Pelodiscus sinensis: one gene and its partner. The protein of the gene in region 1 purifies or fractionates together with the protein of each later gene. This does not show direct contact. Links are inferred from orthologs where the notes say so. Each region holds a gene or a part of one and is shown in the gene's direction. Other genes may lie near its edges. The genes, in order: CCT4 and TLE2.

Region 1 (8,121 bases):
AAAATAATAGCAGCTTTAAAACAAAAGGGAATACTTCTTTACATAATGCACAGCCAACCTATGAAACTCCTTGCCAGAGGATGTTGTGAAAAGATTATAACAGGGTTCAAAAAAGACCTAGATAAAATAATGGAGGATAGGTCCATCAATAGCTCCCTAGTCTTTGCCAGAAGCTAGGAATGGGAAATGAGAGAGGGATCACTTGATGATCATCTGTTCTTTTCATTTCCTTTGGGGGCACCTGGTATTGGCCACTATCAGAAGACAGGATACTGTGCTAATGGAGTTTTGGTCTGACATAGTAGAGCTGTTTCTAGGTATGTTCTTAATAATGAAAGGTATGTTTATCTATGTTAAAACCAAGTTATACAAGGTGGTTAGCTGTACACTCTTGTGTATATAGAATATTAGTGTTGTGGGATGCCCTGTTTAACTATACAGGCAGTCTCCGACTTACGCGGATCCGACTTATGTCGGATCCGCACTTACGAACGGGGCTTTCTCGCCCCGGAGCTCGCAGGCAGTGGTCCGCCACCTCGACCTCCAGGGCAAGAAAAGCTGCTCCTGGTGCCCCTGGTCTGCTGGGGACCGTCTCCAACAGACCAGGGGCACCGGTAGCAAAGCCGCAGCAGCGGCGGGTCCCGCGCCAGAGCAAAGCCTCAGAGGCGAGGAACCCCGCCGCTGCGGCTTTGCTCCCCGTGTCCCTGGTCTGCTGGGGGGGGGGGGGGGCGCAGCTAGTGTGCCCCCCCCCAGCAGACCAGGCTTTTGTTGTGGACCCTGGGGCCAGAGCAGCTGGGGCGCTGCCGGTTGGTCCCGCAGCGTCGCTCTGGGCACTACTGGACCAACCCGGCAGCACCCCAGCTGCTCTGCCCGAGGCGTCCTGATTCAGCCGCTGCTGGTCAGTTTCAGCAGCGGCTGAATCAGGACGCCTGGGGCAGAGCAGCTGGGGTGCTGCTGGGTTGGTCCAGTAGCGCCAAGGAGCGGCGCTACTGGAGCAACCCAGCAGCACCCAAGCTGCTCTGCCCCAGGCGTCCCCAAGTCAGCCGCTGCTGAAACTGACCAGCGCTGACTACAGGAAGCCCGAGGCACAGTTGCTCTGCCCTGGGCTTCCTGGAATCAGCGGCTGATCAGTTTCAGCAGCAACTGACTTGGGGTTCTTAAGTTGAATCTGTATGTCAGTCAGAACTGGCGGTCAGTTTCAGCAGCGGCTGAATCTGGACTCCAGTTCCGACTTACATACAGATTTAGCTTAAGAACAAACCTACAGTCCCTATCTTGTACGTAACCCGGGGACTGCCTGTATACAACTTGAGTGTGTCGATCAAAAAAGTCCAAAAGCAAGAGAAATTTATGATGCAATGTGTAATCCAGAATTTAAAGCCTACCTGCTATTTTTGAAATATGTTTTGGATTACATGAACAAATTCAATGCTCTCTTTCAAAGCAAATCTCCACTCATTCATTGCACTAAACCAGCACACCAGGGAGACGCGGAGCAGCTTTTCTCGCCCCGGAGGACGCGAGCGGCGGGACCGCGGCGCATCTGGGCGTCCCGCCGCTCCCGTCCTCCGGGGTGAGAAAAGCCCCGTTCGTAACTGTGGATCCGACATAAGTCGGATCCGACATAAGTCGGGGACTGCCTGTACTTTGAAAAGTTTCACTGACTCTGGTTTAATGCAATGAATGAGTGGAGATTTGCTTTGAAAGAGAGCATTGAATTTGTTCATGTAATCCAAAACATATTTCAAAAATAGCAGGTAGGCTTTAAATTCTGGATTACACATTGCATCATATATTTATCTTGCTTTTGGACTTTTTTGTTCGACACACTCATGTTGTATATAGTTAAACAGGGAGCCCCCCCACAGCAGACCAGGGAGACGCGGAGCAAAGCCGCGGAGGATGCGGGCGGGACCGCGGTGCGTCTCGGCGGTCCCGCTACCCGCGTCTCCCTGGTCTGCTGGGGGGGGCGCAGCTAGTGCACCTCCCCCTGCAAGACCAGGCTTTTCTTGCCGACGACGCCTAGGGTAGAGCAGCTGGGGTGCTGCCAGGTTGGTCCCGCAGCGCCGCTCCTCGGCGCTACTGGACCAAACCGGCAGCACCCCAGCTGCTCTGCCCCAGGCGTCCCCAAGTCAGCCGCTGCTGAAACTGACCAGCGGCTGACTACAGGAAGCCAGAGGCAGAGTTGCTCTGCCCCGGCTTCCTGGAATCAGCCGCTGATCAGTATCAGCAGCGGCTGACTTGGGGACACCTGGGGTAGAGCAGCTGGGGTCCTGCTGGGTTGGTCCCCGCAGCGCTGAGGTGCGGCGCTGCGGGGACCTACCCGGCAGCACCCCAGCTGCTCTGTCCCAGGCGTCCAAATTCAGCCGCTGTTGAAACTGATCAGCGGCTGACTCCAGGAAGCCCAGGGCAGAGCAACTCTGCCTCGAGCTTCCTGTCGTCAGCCGCTGGTTGGTTTCAGCTGCGGCTGAATCTGGACGCCAGTTCCGACTTACATACAAATTCAACTTAAGAACAAACCTACAGTCCCTATCTTGTATGTAACCCGGGGACTGCCTGTAATTGCAACAAATTACTTAAAACCACATTTCCTAAAAGGTGAATTAACAAAAGTTAATATGTCACATCCCTCTAATTTTATCAAAATTAATGAAATATATACTGGTCCAGAGTGTGAGGAGTACTTAAAATGTATTGATCCTAGTGTAGCTCTGAATGTAAGAAAAGTGATTCAGCATTATTACATCACTTGTTGTCAAGAAATGTAGCACAGGCTACCACTTGACTCAGTTGTTTTCTCAGAGGTTGGATTTATAGATCCTAAAATTTGTCTTAATGTTGATGTAGATAAAGAAAAAAAAAGATATCTCAAAACTTTGTGCAATATTTAAGATAGATGTGAACTCAGAGCCTTGTCATTTTCTTTAGAATCAAATCAAATTGAATGTGTAAAGAATAAGCCTATCGATGCAATGTGGCATGAAATTTCTAAAATGAAACATTTTTCTGGAAAATTTATGTTTTCAAACATTCATAAATCAGCTCAAAAGGTTTTAGCATTGCCACATTCAAATGCAGAATGTGAGAGAATTTTTTCAATGGTTACAGACATTAAAACTAAGAAAAGGAGTAACATGAAAACTAAAACACTTAATTCTAGTGTAATTGTCAGATCAGCTTTTAAAGCAAAAAAAAAAATGTTCTAGTTTTGTAATTACAAATAAGCATTTACATTTACATAATAAAAATACAGTAGACTTCCGATAATCCAGAACCTTTGGGACCAAGGTGGTGCCAGATTATTGGATATGCCGGACTATCAGGCGGTACTATAAACTGGTTTTAAATATATATATATATATATATACACACACACACACACACACAGACACTGTATACCAGTGGTCCCCAACCTTTAGAGGCTCCCTGGCGCCCGGGGGCGGGGCCACTCGCGCTGGGTGCCCGGGGGCGGAGCCGCGCATCCTGGGGCACACCAGGGGTAGGGATGCCCTTGCACTGGGCGCCGGCATGTGCCCCAGGGCCGGTGCCGCCCGAGCGCCTTGTGCCGTGGGCCCGGATGTGCCCCGGGGCTGGAGCCGCCCGAGCGCCACGCACCAGGTGCCGGTGCGTGTCGCTCGCCTGGGGCCGGCGCCTCCAGTGCGCCGCACGCCGGGGATGGGCCGACCCAGGTTGTCGGCGGGCACACAGAAATGCCTCGGCGGGCGCCATGGCGCCCGCGGGCACTGCGTTGGGGACCACTGCTGTATACAGTATATACTGTATATAAAGTGTTTTAACCCTTTTTATTGTGCATACTGTATATAATATACTGTAATGTTTTAGTTTTTTTAACCCTTTTCACTCGGTTCAGCTGCTTCCTTGAGGAGTTTTCTGCTGAAGCTCACTCACTAGGCTCTTGCCATTTTGATGCCGGATTATCAGGAGTGCCGTACAATTGGATGCCGGACTATTGGAGTTTTACTGTATGTACAAATATGGATATGCCAGAAAAACTGGCAGTCAGACTGATAAAAATATTAATGGTGATGACATTTCTAGTGAGGAGTCGAGTCATGACTCATCTGATGAGTAAAACTCATCGTGATAGTTAAGTATTATGTATTAAATATTCTATTCATTTTATATGAAACGAAAATCTTTTATATTTGAAGTGTTCCTTTATTTATCATATATAACTGAAATGTATTCTGAAGTGTATACTGTACTGATTTTACCTTGAGTAAAATAATTAAAATGTTTTATTATTCTTTCATTTTATGAAATACCATCCATGAAGTAATTAAGGATATTTGGATATATAAAAATAATTATTTTTGGATGAAAAGTTCAGCTTTAATAACATTATATTTTTAATTATAAAGAGCATCATAAAATCATCTAAATTATTGTCATATATTTCGAGTTAATTATATATATATATATATATAAAACAAATGAATTAACTATACATAAAATAGCCTTTATAACATATACAATTAATATGGGAATTTTTCATCAGATTTGAGAAATTTTTAGCGCTGGCCTGGGAAAAGTTGGCAACACGATATCGAACCGCTGCCCAGCTCTGCCGACGCTAGGGAAAGGTGCGAGCGCAGCATTGCGCGGACAAGAGAGCCGCAGTCTGCTCAGCGAGCCTGGGGGCGAGACCCCACCCCAAGCTGCTGCTGCTCCCGGGAAAGTGGGGCGCTGCGAGCGGGCGCCTGAGAGCACTTGCACCGCCTCAGAGCGGGCCGGTCCGCCCCCCAGCTCATCCCTCCCGCCCCGCCCCGGGCACTCCGCGCAGACCGTTCCAGCCGCTCAGGGACCCATCGGAGTCGGGCCGTTCGCTCCTGAGAGATTCCCCTCCCGCCGCGCACACTCTGCACGAGCCGCGCTGCCAGCCGGCTCAGGACACCCGCGCGCTCAGCACTTCCCATAGCGGACAAAGCCCCGCCTCGCAAGATGGCCGCGCCGGCCCCGCCTCGCGCAGACCGTTGTCCCCGGCCTATCGGCCGGCGAGCGCGGCCCTAATGACGTCACTCGCGGCGTCAGTTCGTTCCTCCCCTTTCGCCTGCGGGTGGCTCTGACGGGCCGGGAGGCGCAGGCTGAGGCGGTGCGTTCTGGAAGCTTCGCGGCGGGGATCGTTAGCGCGGGCCGGCCCGGTTCATCCGTCTCCATCCGGGACTTAGACGCAGCGAGGCGCCGGGGAACCGACATGCCGGAGAACGCGGGGCCCAGAGCCCTCCCGGGTGGCAACGGAGGCCGTAAAAGAAGCGCCTACCAGGACCGGGACAAGCCGGCGCAAATCCGCTTCAGCAACATCTCTGCCGGCAAAGGTGCGCCCGGCCCGACTGATGAAAGGGACCGAAAAAAAAATCTCTGTCAGGGCGGAAGGGGGGGGGGGGTCGGGGGATCGGTGGCGGCCTCTGTCTCGCCCGCGGTCCTGTTCCTCCTGCCGTTGTGCGGGGAAGCGCGAGGCGGCGGCTTCTTCCTACAGTGACCCCCCCTCCCTTCAGTCCCATAGTCGTGGGGGGTGAAGACTCCATCACACACACAGACCCTGCCCCCACCCCACCCCACCCCACCAGCGGGCCGGACGCCTTCGTGGAGGGTGAATTCTAGACAGTCGTCCCCCCAGGCTCCATCACTGCATCAGCTACAGCCGCTGCTGGAGACGTTTCTTCCTTTTAGCTAACACCGCATGGGCCTTGTCTGCAGGGGAGAGAGTGTTCTCTGCAAACCCTCCCCCCCCCCCCCATTTTTTCTAGGTTTTTTTTTTTAATGTAGTAACTGTTATGGTGCTAAGACCAAAATCTGGTGGGGAAGGGACTGTAATTGGCAGTTGTCATAAGGCCTGATCATTTTACCGGGGCAGAAGGCATTGAAATTTGAAATGTAAATAACACTTTAAAATTATATAGTGAAAGGGTTAACTTTTTAATTGGGATTAAGACAGTCTGCTGCAGGTGGCAGGTCTGCTCCAACCAGTTAACTGTTTCCCAGGTAAACGTGGGTGTGGCTAATTACCAAGTAACAGGGTTTACTTTTTACATCCTTAATTGAAATTCACTATGAGACCAGTGAAACCACTCAGCATTTTTAAATCTGTGTGGCTTATAATACCATTAATACCTCATTGGATTTGAAAATACTTCATTCACATAATCAGCTATTGATTGTCTTTAACATATTCCTGGTGTTAGAATTAGCCATGAAAGCCATGCACTTTATTTTTCTTAAAATTTTTTATGCTATATCAGTAAATTTGTCCTTGATAAGATTATTAAATAGTGATGCAGACAAACTTGTGTGGGAGCCATTTAAAGTTTTCTGTCCTTTTCTATACAGAAAAAACTATGTTCAGACTTGCAGTATTAATTTAGATGCTAATAAAATATACAAAAACTTGTAAAGTTGAATGTTAGTAACTAATTGCATAAAATAATTTCATTTTTACTCCTCCTTCAGCGGTTGCTGATGCTATTAGAACAAGTCTTGGACCAAAAGGAATGGATAAAATGGTAAGCTTTGAGATAAGTGCTTGAATATTTTAAAAACATATTATAAATACGTAAACAAATTTCAAAGTTTTCTTATAAGAATAGTTTTCTTTTGGGTTTTTTAATTTGCTAATCACAAAGGTGTAACTTCTAGTTACGTGCACATGATTATTGTTGGAAAAGATAATACATTGAAACTTTAGTACTAATATTCCCTTTGGTTTAAAGGAAATATCGGGTAGTTTATGACTCTTTAACATAGAATCATAGAATACTAGAACTGGAAGGGACTTTGAGAGATCAAGTCCAATCTCCTGCCTTCATGGCCAGACCAACACTGATCTAGATGGTGCTATCCCAACTGGTGAAGAGCTGGCATTCCCCTACCCCCTCTTAAAGAGACAGAGCCATGGCGGGAATCATGGCAGCGGGGCGCTTTTTTTTTTTCCCCTCTTGATGAAACGCAGCCCTAGGGCAGTGGTCCCCAACCTTTCGGGGCCGCCTGCGCGTCCGGGGACGGCCCAGATGATTCAGCAGGTGCGCACAAATGCCTCAGCGGGTGCCATGGTGCCCATGTGCATCACATTGGGGACCACTGCCTTGGGATTCTGTGGCCAAATAAAATTGGGAAACACTGATCTAGATCATCCCTGATAGATGTCTATCTAACCTGCTCTTAAATATCCTCCATTGATGGAAATTCCATAACCTCCCTAAGTCCACCCTAAACCTCCTTTGCTGCACTTTAAGCCCATTGCTTCTTGTCCTATCATCAGAGACCAAAGAGAACAATTTTCCCCCTTCCTCCCTGTGACACCCTTTTAGATGCCTGAAAACCGCTAAATAAATGTCTTGTGTAACTAAGGTCATAAGTATGTATAGTATTTAATTTCTATTTTAGATTCAAGATGGAAAAGGAGATGTGACAATTACAAATGATGGAGCAACTATTCTAAAACAAATGCAGGTTCTGCATCCTGCAGCTAAAATGGTAAATTACTTTTAATATCAACCTGTAAACCAACCTAGATTGCAGAGAACTCTTAAGGAGGCAGTGGTAGAAGTGATGGGCAACATAGACTTCATGAAAGGCTCTCCATCTCAGTGAGCAGCAAGATTGTTGTAACCAAGATGGTCTGCTGGGTTAGGATAGTTGTGCTAATTGCATTTGCATACCTGGAATTTGTGGGGTGTACTGATTGAACTCTAGCAGCACTTTGATGGGATGCAGAAGGAGCGCATGGCTTTTACAGTCAATGTTGTGTGCATGTGGTATACACTTCTGTTCATATGCCCTTTATGTGCATACCACTTAAGTAATAACAGTAAGTAAAAAAATATACACAGACAGAAACCCGCAAAATCTGGCAACCTTGCACATGAACTGTGTAATCAAAGTGTCTTGTGGGCCCCACACATAGAACCCTGATGGACCACATGCCCATCACTGATTCTGGGCATTTACATAGGAGGGAGGGAGGGAGAGAGAGAGAGAGAGAGAGTGTGTGTGTGTGTGTGTGTGTGTATTTTTGCAGCACAGCAAGTCTGCGATGCACTGGGGTTCTGGCTTTGATGTTTTTTCTATAGACTGGGGGAGAGAGCCTGAAAATCCAAACTTCAA
Region 2 (8,007 bases), on another chromosome or scaffold:
ACTCCTCACTCACTCACTGCCTCATGTACCCAGGAAGAGTAGTAATCCTTCCCTGCCTCCCATGGGTGCTGCAATGCTTAATTGATTCAAGTGCTCCCCTGCCAAAGGGCTTTAGGGAAGAGTGGAGTTTTGTTATTCCAAGAGCTGAAACTGGCGGAGAGGAGCAGGGAGCGGCAGGGCTTTGACAGCCCTGTGCGTTTCCGTATCAGCCCCGCTTTTGAGCCCTGAACACAGTTTTAATTGGACAGCCATCCTCAGGAATTCCGCGGTTGGTTAGCAGTGGCAGTAAAAGGTTTGTTGCGTATTAGCTGGGTGCCAAGCCAAGTGTGGTTAATACCCTGAAATCCTGGGAATTTACTGTGGTCAGGAGCGTTTGGGGGGACGGTGTCGACAATACGTCCCACGCAGTTGCTGCCTTACGGGAGCCATTTTCCTAATTGCAGCATTTAGGTTTGCAGCGAAACATGCAAAACAAATGAAATCATCCTTTGGAATTTTTTGGCCAAAATTCTAGCACTTTGGGGTTTGTTTGGTTTTTGTTTCCATAGGGTTACCCCTCACACCCTTGTCTCTGTCCTTGATGGAAAAACAAGGCCTGCTGAAACCCAGTGAATAATCGTCATGCAGCACATCTGCCACTCTCAGTGCATCCATATTATCTTCTTTTCACAGCTGGGGAAATTGAGGCAAAGGGACACACCAAAGGAGATTAGCAAATTGGTGGCAGTGCCCAGAAGAGGACTCAGGAGACCTCTGGCTGCCTCCTAACACTGATATCAAACTGGCACTGCTAAGGGCCACCACTGTCCAACAACCATGCTTCACAACTACAGCAGCCACACAAACACAGCCACCTCTGGGGTGTAGCACAGACGCTGGCCCATAGCACGCTACACAATCCTGAGAGGAAAGTGATAGAAATGTAGCCGTGTTAGTCTGGGGTAGCTGAAGCAAAATGCAGGACAATGTAGCACTTTAAAGACTAACAAGATGGTTTATTAGATGATGAGCTTTCGTGGGCCAGACCCACTTCCTCAGATCTGATCTGAGGAAGTGGGTCTGGCCCACGAAAGCTCATCATCTAATAAACCATCTTGTTAGTCTTTAAAGTGCTACATAGTCCTGCATTTTGCTGAGAGGAAAGAACTTTTTTATTTTCTGGGCTGGGCAGAGGGGGAGACGCTGTTCTTATGAGCCAAGCAACTTGAGGATCATAGAATCAAAGGGCTGGAAGAGAGAGACCTCAGGAGGTCGAGTCCAAGTCCCTACTAAAACAGGACCCATCCCAACTCAATCATCCCAGCCAGGGCTTTGTCAAGCCAGGGCTTAAAAACCTCTAGGGATGGAGATTCCACCCCCTCCCCAGGGAACCCAGCCCAGTGCTCCCCCACCCTCCTAGGGAAATAACACCTTTAACATCCCTGCAAATGGGACAAGCTTTGCTGCTGAGTGGAATTTGGGCTGTGATGGCCCAGCAGCAGGGGCTGGAATTTGCAGTGTTCTCAGGAGCCTGCTGCTCCGACGGCGTCCCCCAAAGGTGGCTCTGTCTTTGGGGCCGTTGGGGCGGAAGGTGCAGAACTTGGCTGGGGTTCACTCTCAGAGGGGAAGAGCGGCCCTAGCTCTGTTTGTGGCTCACTCTGCTGTGGGCTGAGGGAGCTGGCGTGTGTGTGTCTGCCGAGGCCCCCATGGTGATGGAAGGTGCTGCTGTGTTAAAGATATGTGCTCCTCTCTGGAAAGCCTGATTCATGGCCAGCAGGAAAGCCTTGCTCAGTTAGATCAATGTGCTGTAATTATACCAGCCAGCCACTTCGGGTGGGGTGGTGAGGAGGGAGCAGGGCCCCACGTTACTTTGATTGACAGGGCAGAGGAGCTAGGCGCAGGAGCTTGTGGGCAATGTAGTTTGTAGTTGCTCTGCACTTTGGGGTGGCTGGAACAGCCAGGGGTTGAAGATCAGGGCATTAATTTGCTTGCCAAGGGGGAGGAGGGGAGGACAGCTGGTGCAGGCATGGAGCAAGGACAGCCCTGACCCCAAAGATCTGCCCGTCAGGGGGCAAGCTAGGGAGGAGATTAAGGACCCTGGTCCCTGTCAATAAATCATAATCCCTAGCTCTTATCTAGCACTTTCCAGCTGCATCTCTCCCGTCACTTTACAAAGAGGGTCAGGATCCTTCTCCTCCTTTTGCAGCCAGGGAAGCTGAGGCATGAGCCAAAAGCTCCTAGTTGCCCCCACCGCCTTACTCCAGAAGGATACACATGCCCCAGGGGCATAGTTTGGGGGAGCACAGGCATGTTGCTGCCCCTGCAAAAATGCAAGCCCCTGATGGGGTGGAATTTGCTGCTCCCCACACGGCCCCATTGGCTTGCCTGGAGCTCCCCCAATAGAGAAGTCGAAGTCGGCCTACGCCAGGCCCTGGGGGTGAGCGAGTGGTCCGCGCTGCCTTCGCCCAAAGGCTGGGAAGCAGTGATCCGGTCCCCAGTCTGTCTAAGCAGGATGCTGCCTTGGGCGGTGACAGCAACTCACAACGGAGTAGGGAAGGATGCTTGAAAAAAGCGGGAGGGGGGACTTGAGAGCCCCAGTCTGTGCAGCCTACGGCTGCCAATAAACTAACTCTGGAACTCTGGGAGCTGCCCCAAGAGGCAGGTGCTGGGGGGTGGGGTGGACTACAAATCCCAGCCTGCCCGAGCTATTCCCTCCCCTACCCCAAGCTCACTTCTGTTTATCCTCCAGCTTCTCTGGCTCCTGATTAGCCTCTGAAGCCTTTGACATCATAGACCCATGTGGGAACTGGCGGGGCCGATTGGCTGGGGCGCCCAGCCAGCTGCAGCCAATGGAAGCTGGTCCCCAGTAGCAAAGGCTGCAAAGCTGTTTAAGGTGGACCTAGGGGCTGGTTTGTGCACCAGCATGAAGGCTCGGGTGTAATAATAATAATAATAATTAATGGTGATCCTGGGGGGAGGGGGGGGCTTTTGGAAGCTTCTGCTTCAGGAATGATCAGGCCTTTCCCAGTTTTTCGGGAGCCTGGGAAAACCCGGCTGCACTGTTGCCTCCCGGCCTAATAATCAGCAGCTGTGGTTTCAGGGGACTCTCCTGTTGGAATCACTCTAACGCAGGGAGACATTGTTCTTCCAACCGTTCCAACAGGAGGCGCTGTAGGGAATGGGGCGGGAGTGCTGGCTGGGCCTGGCTCTGACCCTGCCAGCAGGAGGCGCTGTAGAAAAGGGTGTAAGAGAGATGGGGCAGGTCTGATGGGTGTAGGAGAGCTGGGAGCAGACATGATGGGTGTAGGAGAGATGGGGCAGGTCTGATGGGTGTAGGAGAGATGGGAGCAGACATGATGGGTGTAGGAGAGCTGGGGCAGGTCTGATGGGTGTAGGAGAGATGGGGCAGGTCTGATGGGTGTAGGAGAGCTGGGAGCAGACATGATGGGTGTAGGAGAGATGGGGCAGGTCTGATGGGTGTAGGAGAGATGGGGCAGGTCTGATGGGTGTAGGAGAGATGGGAGCAGACATGATGGGTGTAGGAGAGATGGGGCAGATGTGATGGGTGGAGGAGAACTTTGCTCTGTATGAATCATGCTATAAAGCCATGTGGGGAGCCGCGCTGGTCTGCTCCCTGCAGGAGGTGCTGGGAGGAATGGGATCAGTGGGGTAGGTGCCTTCCTACCACCAAAACCAGCTCCTAGTTTTTCTCCTTTCTCTCCATGGAAACCAGTCCTGGCAGCAGCTCAGGGCCTGGGGAACACAGTAGCCTGGCTTGGATCACTGGGTCAAACAGAGATTCTAACCCTGAATATATTTGATGAGTATAGATTTATGACGCCTTTATTGCAGAGCACACAGTGCGTGCTGCTCCCTGTGCCCAGGGTCAAGCCAGGGGCTAGCGCCAAGCGGCTGTGTAGCTCTGCTGTCCAAAGGGCCAGGAAGAACGAACCCAAGTAGATGGAGGCACCGCGGGCCCCAAGAGGGCAATGCTTATTGAGGTTGGTTTCATTTGGGTCTGGGGGAGGGGGCTTTCACCCAGGCCCCTTCAGATCTGGGCCCACCTGTCTGAGGCACTGGCGGAGGGGTCGAGTCCAGCAAATCCGCTTTATAGCACGGGGCTCCGCAGCCGCAGATGTGCATGCAGAGTGCCGCGACTCATTTTTGCAGATACAGATGTGGATACAAATTTGTACCCATGCAGGGCTCTACGGGGGGGCAGCCTGGGTCCCTGTGGCCATGGAAGATCCCAGCAGTCAGTAGGGTGGGAGAACTCCAGGGGGGAGAGTCTGGGGGCAGAGGAGAAGGAAGAAAATGTTGGGGCACAGAGGAAGGACAAGGAAGGGGCCTGAGACCGGCGGGTGTGCCCAGGGCATGAGGGAGGGGAATATTTAGGGGGTCCCCATTGTTATCTGAATGCAGCCCAGCCCCACACTTGAAGGGGGGCCATGCAGGGATAGAGCAGAGCCAGATGGGAGCTGAAGAGCCCTTAGGACATGAAAGGTCAATGAGGCGGTTGACCCTCCCCCCCCATTTTGGCCAAGCAACCTGGAGACTGAGTCGGCCAGTCGGCTGCAACCCACCCTCCCCGGCCCAGCAGGATGTGGGGGTGCTGGTAGGGAAGTGGGAGCAGCTGCTTCCCTCAGTTCAGTTAGCCTGGGGGGGGTCGCTCTCCCAGGCCTTGCTGCCCTCCGGCACCTCTAGAGGGTGGGAAGCATCCCTGGTGTGGCTCCCAGAGCCGTGGGCAAAGCCCCTGGTGCCACCTCCTGCCGAGAAAGAGCCACCTTAAGGATCCAGTTCGACAGACTCCCCTACTCTCCCTTTGCCTTGCCAGGAGGCAGTTTTCATTCTAGCCAGGGACCGCTGTTGAAATCCGGCCAGATTTTCTACTGACCTTCTGTTCCTGCTGGTTCTTTTTCTTTTCTTTTTTTTCCCTTTGGCGCTTTAAGACAGATTGTATTTCCCCCAGCCCTGTGTCCGATGGGGGGGCTGAAGCAACCCGGACCAGTACGACCCACTGGGGAGGAAGCCTCGCGCCCCTTTCACCCGACGGAAATGTTCTTCACCCCGGCTGAGCCGTACCCACAACAATAAATAATTTTATTTAAAAACAAATCCGAGGAAGATTCCAATATCCGGCCATCCCTCCCTGAGACAAGATTTCCTCGCCCTCTTGATCTCCCGGGGACCGGCGGCTTTTGGAGAAGTTAAAAAAGAAGCGGGGCTGGGGAGGGAAAAGAGAGTGGCCTCTCTCCTCCGGTGGGCGTCAGTTTTGGGCAAGCCCCCCAGGATGTACCCACAAGGACGGCACCCTGTAAGTACCATCCTGTGCTCCGGGCCGGCTGGGGAAAGCCAGGAGCTGGGCTGGATTCTGGCATGGGGCAGGGGCAGGGGCAGTCCTTGGGCCGTGAGCTAAGGGAGGGGAGGGCAGTGCATTGGCGATGGGGTGGGTGGCAGCAGCGTTGTGTCTGATCTCCCCCTGCTCTGCGCTCTAGACTCCGCTTCAGTCTGGGCAGCCCTTCAAGTTCTCGATTTTGGAAATCTGCGACCGGATTAAGGAAGAATTCCAGTTCCTGCAGGCTCAGTATCACAGGTGACTGACGGGGAGTATGGGGGGCAGGTGAGGGACACAGCCAGACAGGTGTCTAGGATCCCAGGTAAAAGGAGAGATTGAGGCAGTGGTGTCTAGGTTTACATGGGGGGTGTTCTGTGGGTCACAGGTATGGCAGGAGTATGAGGCATGGCTGGGCACACACCTGTCAGGGTGGGGGGGCTCTGGAGGGTTTTTGGGTCACAGCTCAGGGAAAGGGCAGGTAGTTTGCACAAGGAGCCAGAGGGATGTCAGGAGAGCACCGAGCTGTGCCCAGGGTCCTAGGGAACGGGGGAAGCAGCAGCCAGGCTAGACTCGGTGTTACAGGTGCCTAGCGCGGAGGGGAGAGGAGCCGAGGGGAGTGGGGCTGAGGGCTACATTTCTGTCCTGCCGAGGGAGCCAGGTGCCAGGACTGAGCCGGTGGTGGCAGCCCTTGGGGGGGGGTCGTGCGTGGCACGGAGTGACTCCCGCAGTAGGGGGGCTGGGGGGAGCTCTGCCCAGTGGCCCTGGGGGCGGAGGTGGAGCAGGCTGCCAAAGAAGGCGGTTCCCTTGCAGCTTGAAGCTGGAATGTGAGAAGCTGGCGAGTGAGAAGACGGAGATGCAGAGACATTATGTCATGGTAAGAGACCCGCCACCTGCCCCTGCACCTCTCTAGGGGGCCTCTTGCCTAGTGGTCATCCCGCTGGGTCAGCTAACAAGCCACTCAGCCTAGGAACTGGCCCCCAAGGGCCACCACTCCTGGCTGAAAGCTGGAGCACTGATGTGCCTCTGGGTGCTCTCCCTGGGGCTGGGGGTGGGGAAGGGCATCGGTCAGGAAGGAGTTAATATCTATTCCTAGCAACGCTTCCTGCTGTCACGTCTGCTGCTGCTTCCCTGGTGCGGTGAGATCCTGGGAATGATGCCATTTTTTAATTTGGCCTCGGCACTATTAACGTCCAGGTGGAGATGGGGGTCGTCAGAAGCCAAATCCCAACCCAAACCCTGGGTCATTTCAGAAAGAACAGCCGGGTGTCCTTCCAAGATGGACTCAGCCAGGGGCTCTGGAAATGGAATCCCATAATTCCGACAAATGGAAGCCGCCTGCTGGAAGGGTCTGGTGGGGTTAGGGCTGAGGTTGGCAAGGGGATAGGGACACAGGACTGCCATGCTGAATTAAACCTGGCATCCCATTCCTGCTCAATATCTTGTCTCGGATGTTACCAGCTGCTTCAGAAGGAGGCTGGTATGCAGTGTTGGGACAGGCTGCCTCCTGGGAAAACTTCCTCCTGACCTCAAAAGCTAGGGGTTGTGCATACCCTGAAGCATAAGGGTTTATTTTCCTTCCAGAATACACATTGGTTTTTTAATTTTTACTGTCGTTCTGGCTTTACTTTCTTATGGGTATGATCCCCTTCCAAATCCTACCAAGTTCTCGGCCTCTGTGACTTCTTGTGGTAAGGAGTTCTGCAGAATAAACGGAGCTTTCGTCCGGAGAAAAGAGTCAGTTCCTGGGACCAGCTTTGAAGTCCTTGGGGATGGTCACACTTTGAGCAGGCGGTTGCGGGAGGTGACCTGCTGAGGTCTCTTCCCACCCATATCTTCTAGGAGTCTGTGAATTCGCCGCCTTTTGTTTCTTTGACTGCTCCTTCGCGTGGGTGTTCCGCCCCCAGGGCCAATCAAAGATCCCGAGCTACTGTCTTGAATCCCTAACGCACCCTCTCCAGACACTCAGCAGCCGGTGCTGTGGCAGGCCCATCAGAATAGGCCCGGGTTAGACTGGGCTGCGGAGTCTGAACACCCCTCCTGGAACAATGCCCCTGGAGCTTGTTCCACGGCTGCCCAGGGAGAGACCCTCAGTCTCCAAGGCTGGTGAACCACTCCCCTGGCCCTGGTTTTGTCCTCCCTACTAAGCTGAATCCTGGTTGTGTGGCCCCTCCCACCTCTGGGGGGCGGGAGGGGGCTTTTGTCCTGTGGGCTCCTCCCACCCTTTCAGAACTGGAGGAGGCCAGTGCCTCGCACCATTCCCTACAACCAGATAGAATTACGAGCGTGCCCCTCTGACAGGCAGAGTAAATCTGGGCCCGATCCCGAGGAAAGCGAAACCCGTCTCTGCAATCGACTGCTGATGGAGTTACACCAGGGCCAGGTTGGCCGGGACGGGTGGAAGCCACGTGGAATAGCTACCGAGGCCGGCTGGTAACTATTGGTTGTCAAGTGGCAAATGGGGAGTTCTAACCGGTTGTGTTCTGGTTTACTTTCAGTACTACGAAATGTCCTATGGGCTGAACATCGAAATGCACAAGCAGGTAAGCAAGGTGGGCTCTTGACCAGCTGGGAGGCAAGGATTTTGGAGGCAATGTGGGTACCAGCATCTCTGAAAACTGGTCCCAAGCCCAAGCCCAGTTAACTCTGACGCAGACTGTTCTTTGTCTTCATCTGAGGCTGGATCTGAACTCGGC

The links.
Region 2: the proteins of CCT4 (region 1) and TLE2 purify together in Homo sapiens (affinity purification with mass spectrometry; 3 studies listed by BioGRID and IntAct, with this or other methods). This does not show direct contact. The link is inferred for Pelodiscus sinensis from reciprocal best matches to the Homo sapiens genes CCT4 and TLE2.

What each region holds. Positions count from the first base shown.
Region 1 is NC_134713.1:180,785,107-180,793,227, reverse strand, and holds the start of CCT4 (T-complex protein 1 subunit delta), read left to right. Parts: upstream 1-5,052; 5' UTR 5,053-5,215; coding exon 5,216-5,336; intron 5,337-6,468; coding exon 6,469-6,521; intron 6,522-7,401; coding exon 7,402-7,491; intron 7,492-8,121. UniProt on the Homo sapiens protein: Component of the chaperonin-containing T-complex (TRiC), a molecular chaperone complex that assists the folding of actin, tubulin and other proteins upon ATP hydrolysis.
Region 2 is NC_134729.1:15,421,897-15,429,903, forward strand, and holds the start of TLE2 (transducin-like enhancer protein 2), read left to right. Parts: upstream 1-4,800; 5' UTR 4,801-5,269; coding exon 5,270-5,293; intron 5,294-5,474; coding exon 5,475-5,572; intron 5,573-6,124; coding exon 6,125-6,188; intron 6,189-7,658; exon of another isoform or gene 7,659-7,673; coding exon of another isoform or gene 7,674-7,694; intron 7,695-7,809; coding exon 7,810-7,854; intron 7,855-7,880; exon of another isoform or gene 7,881-8,007.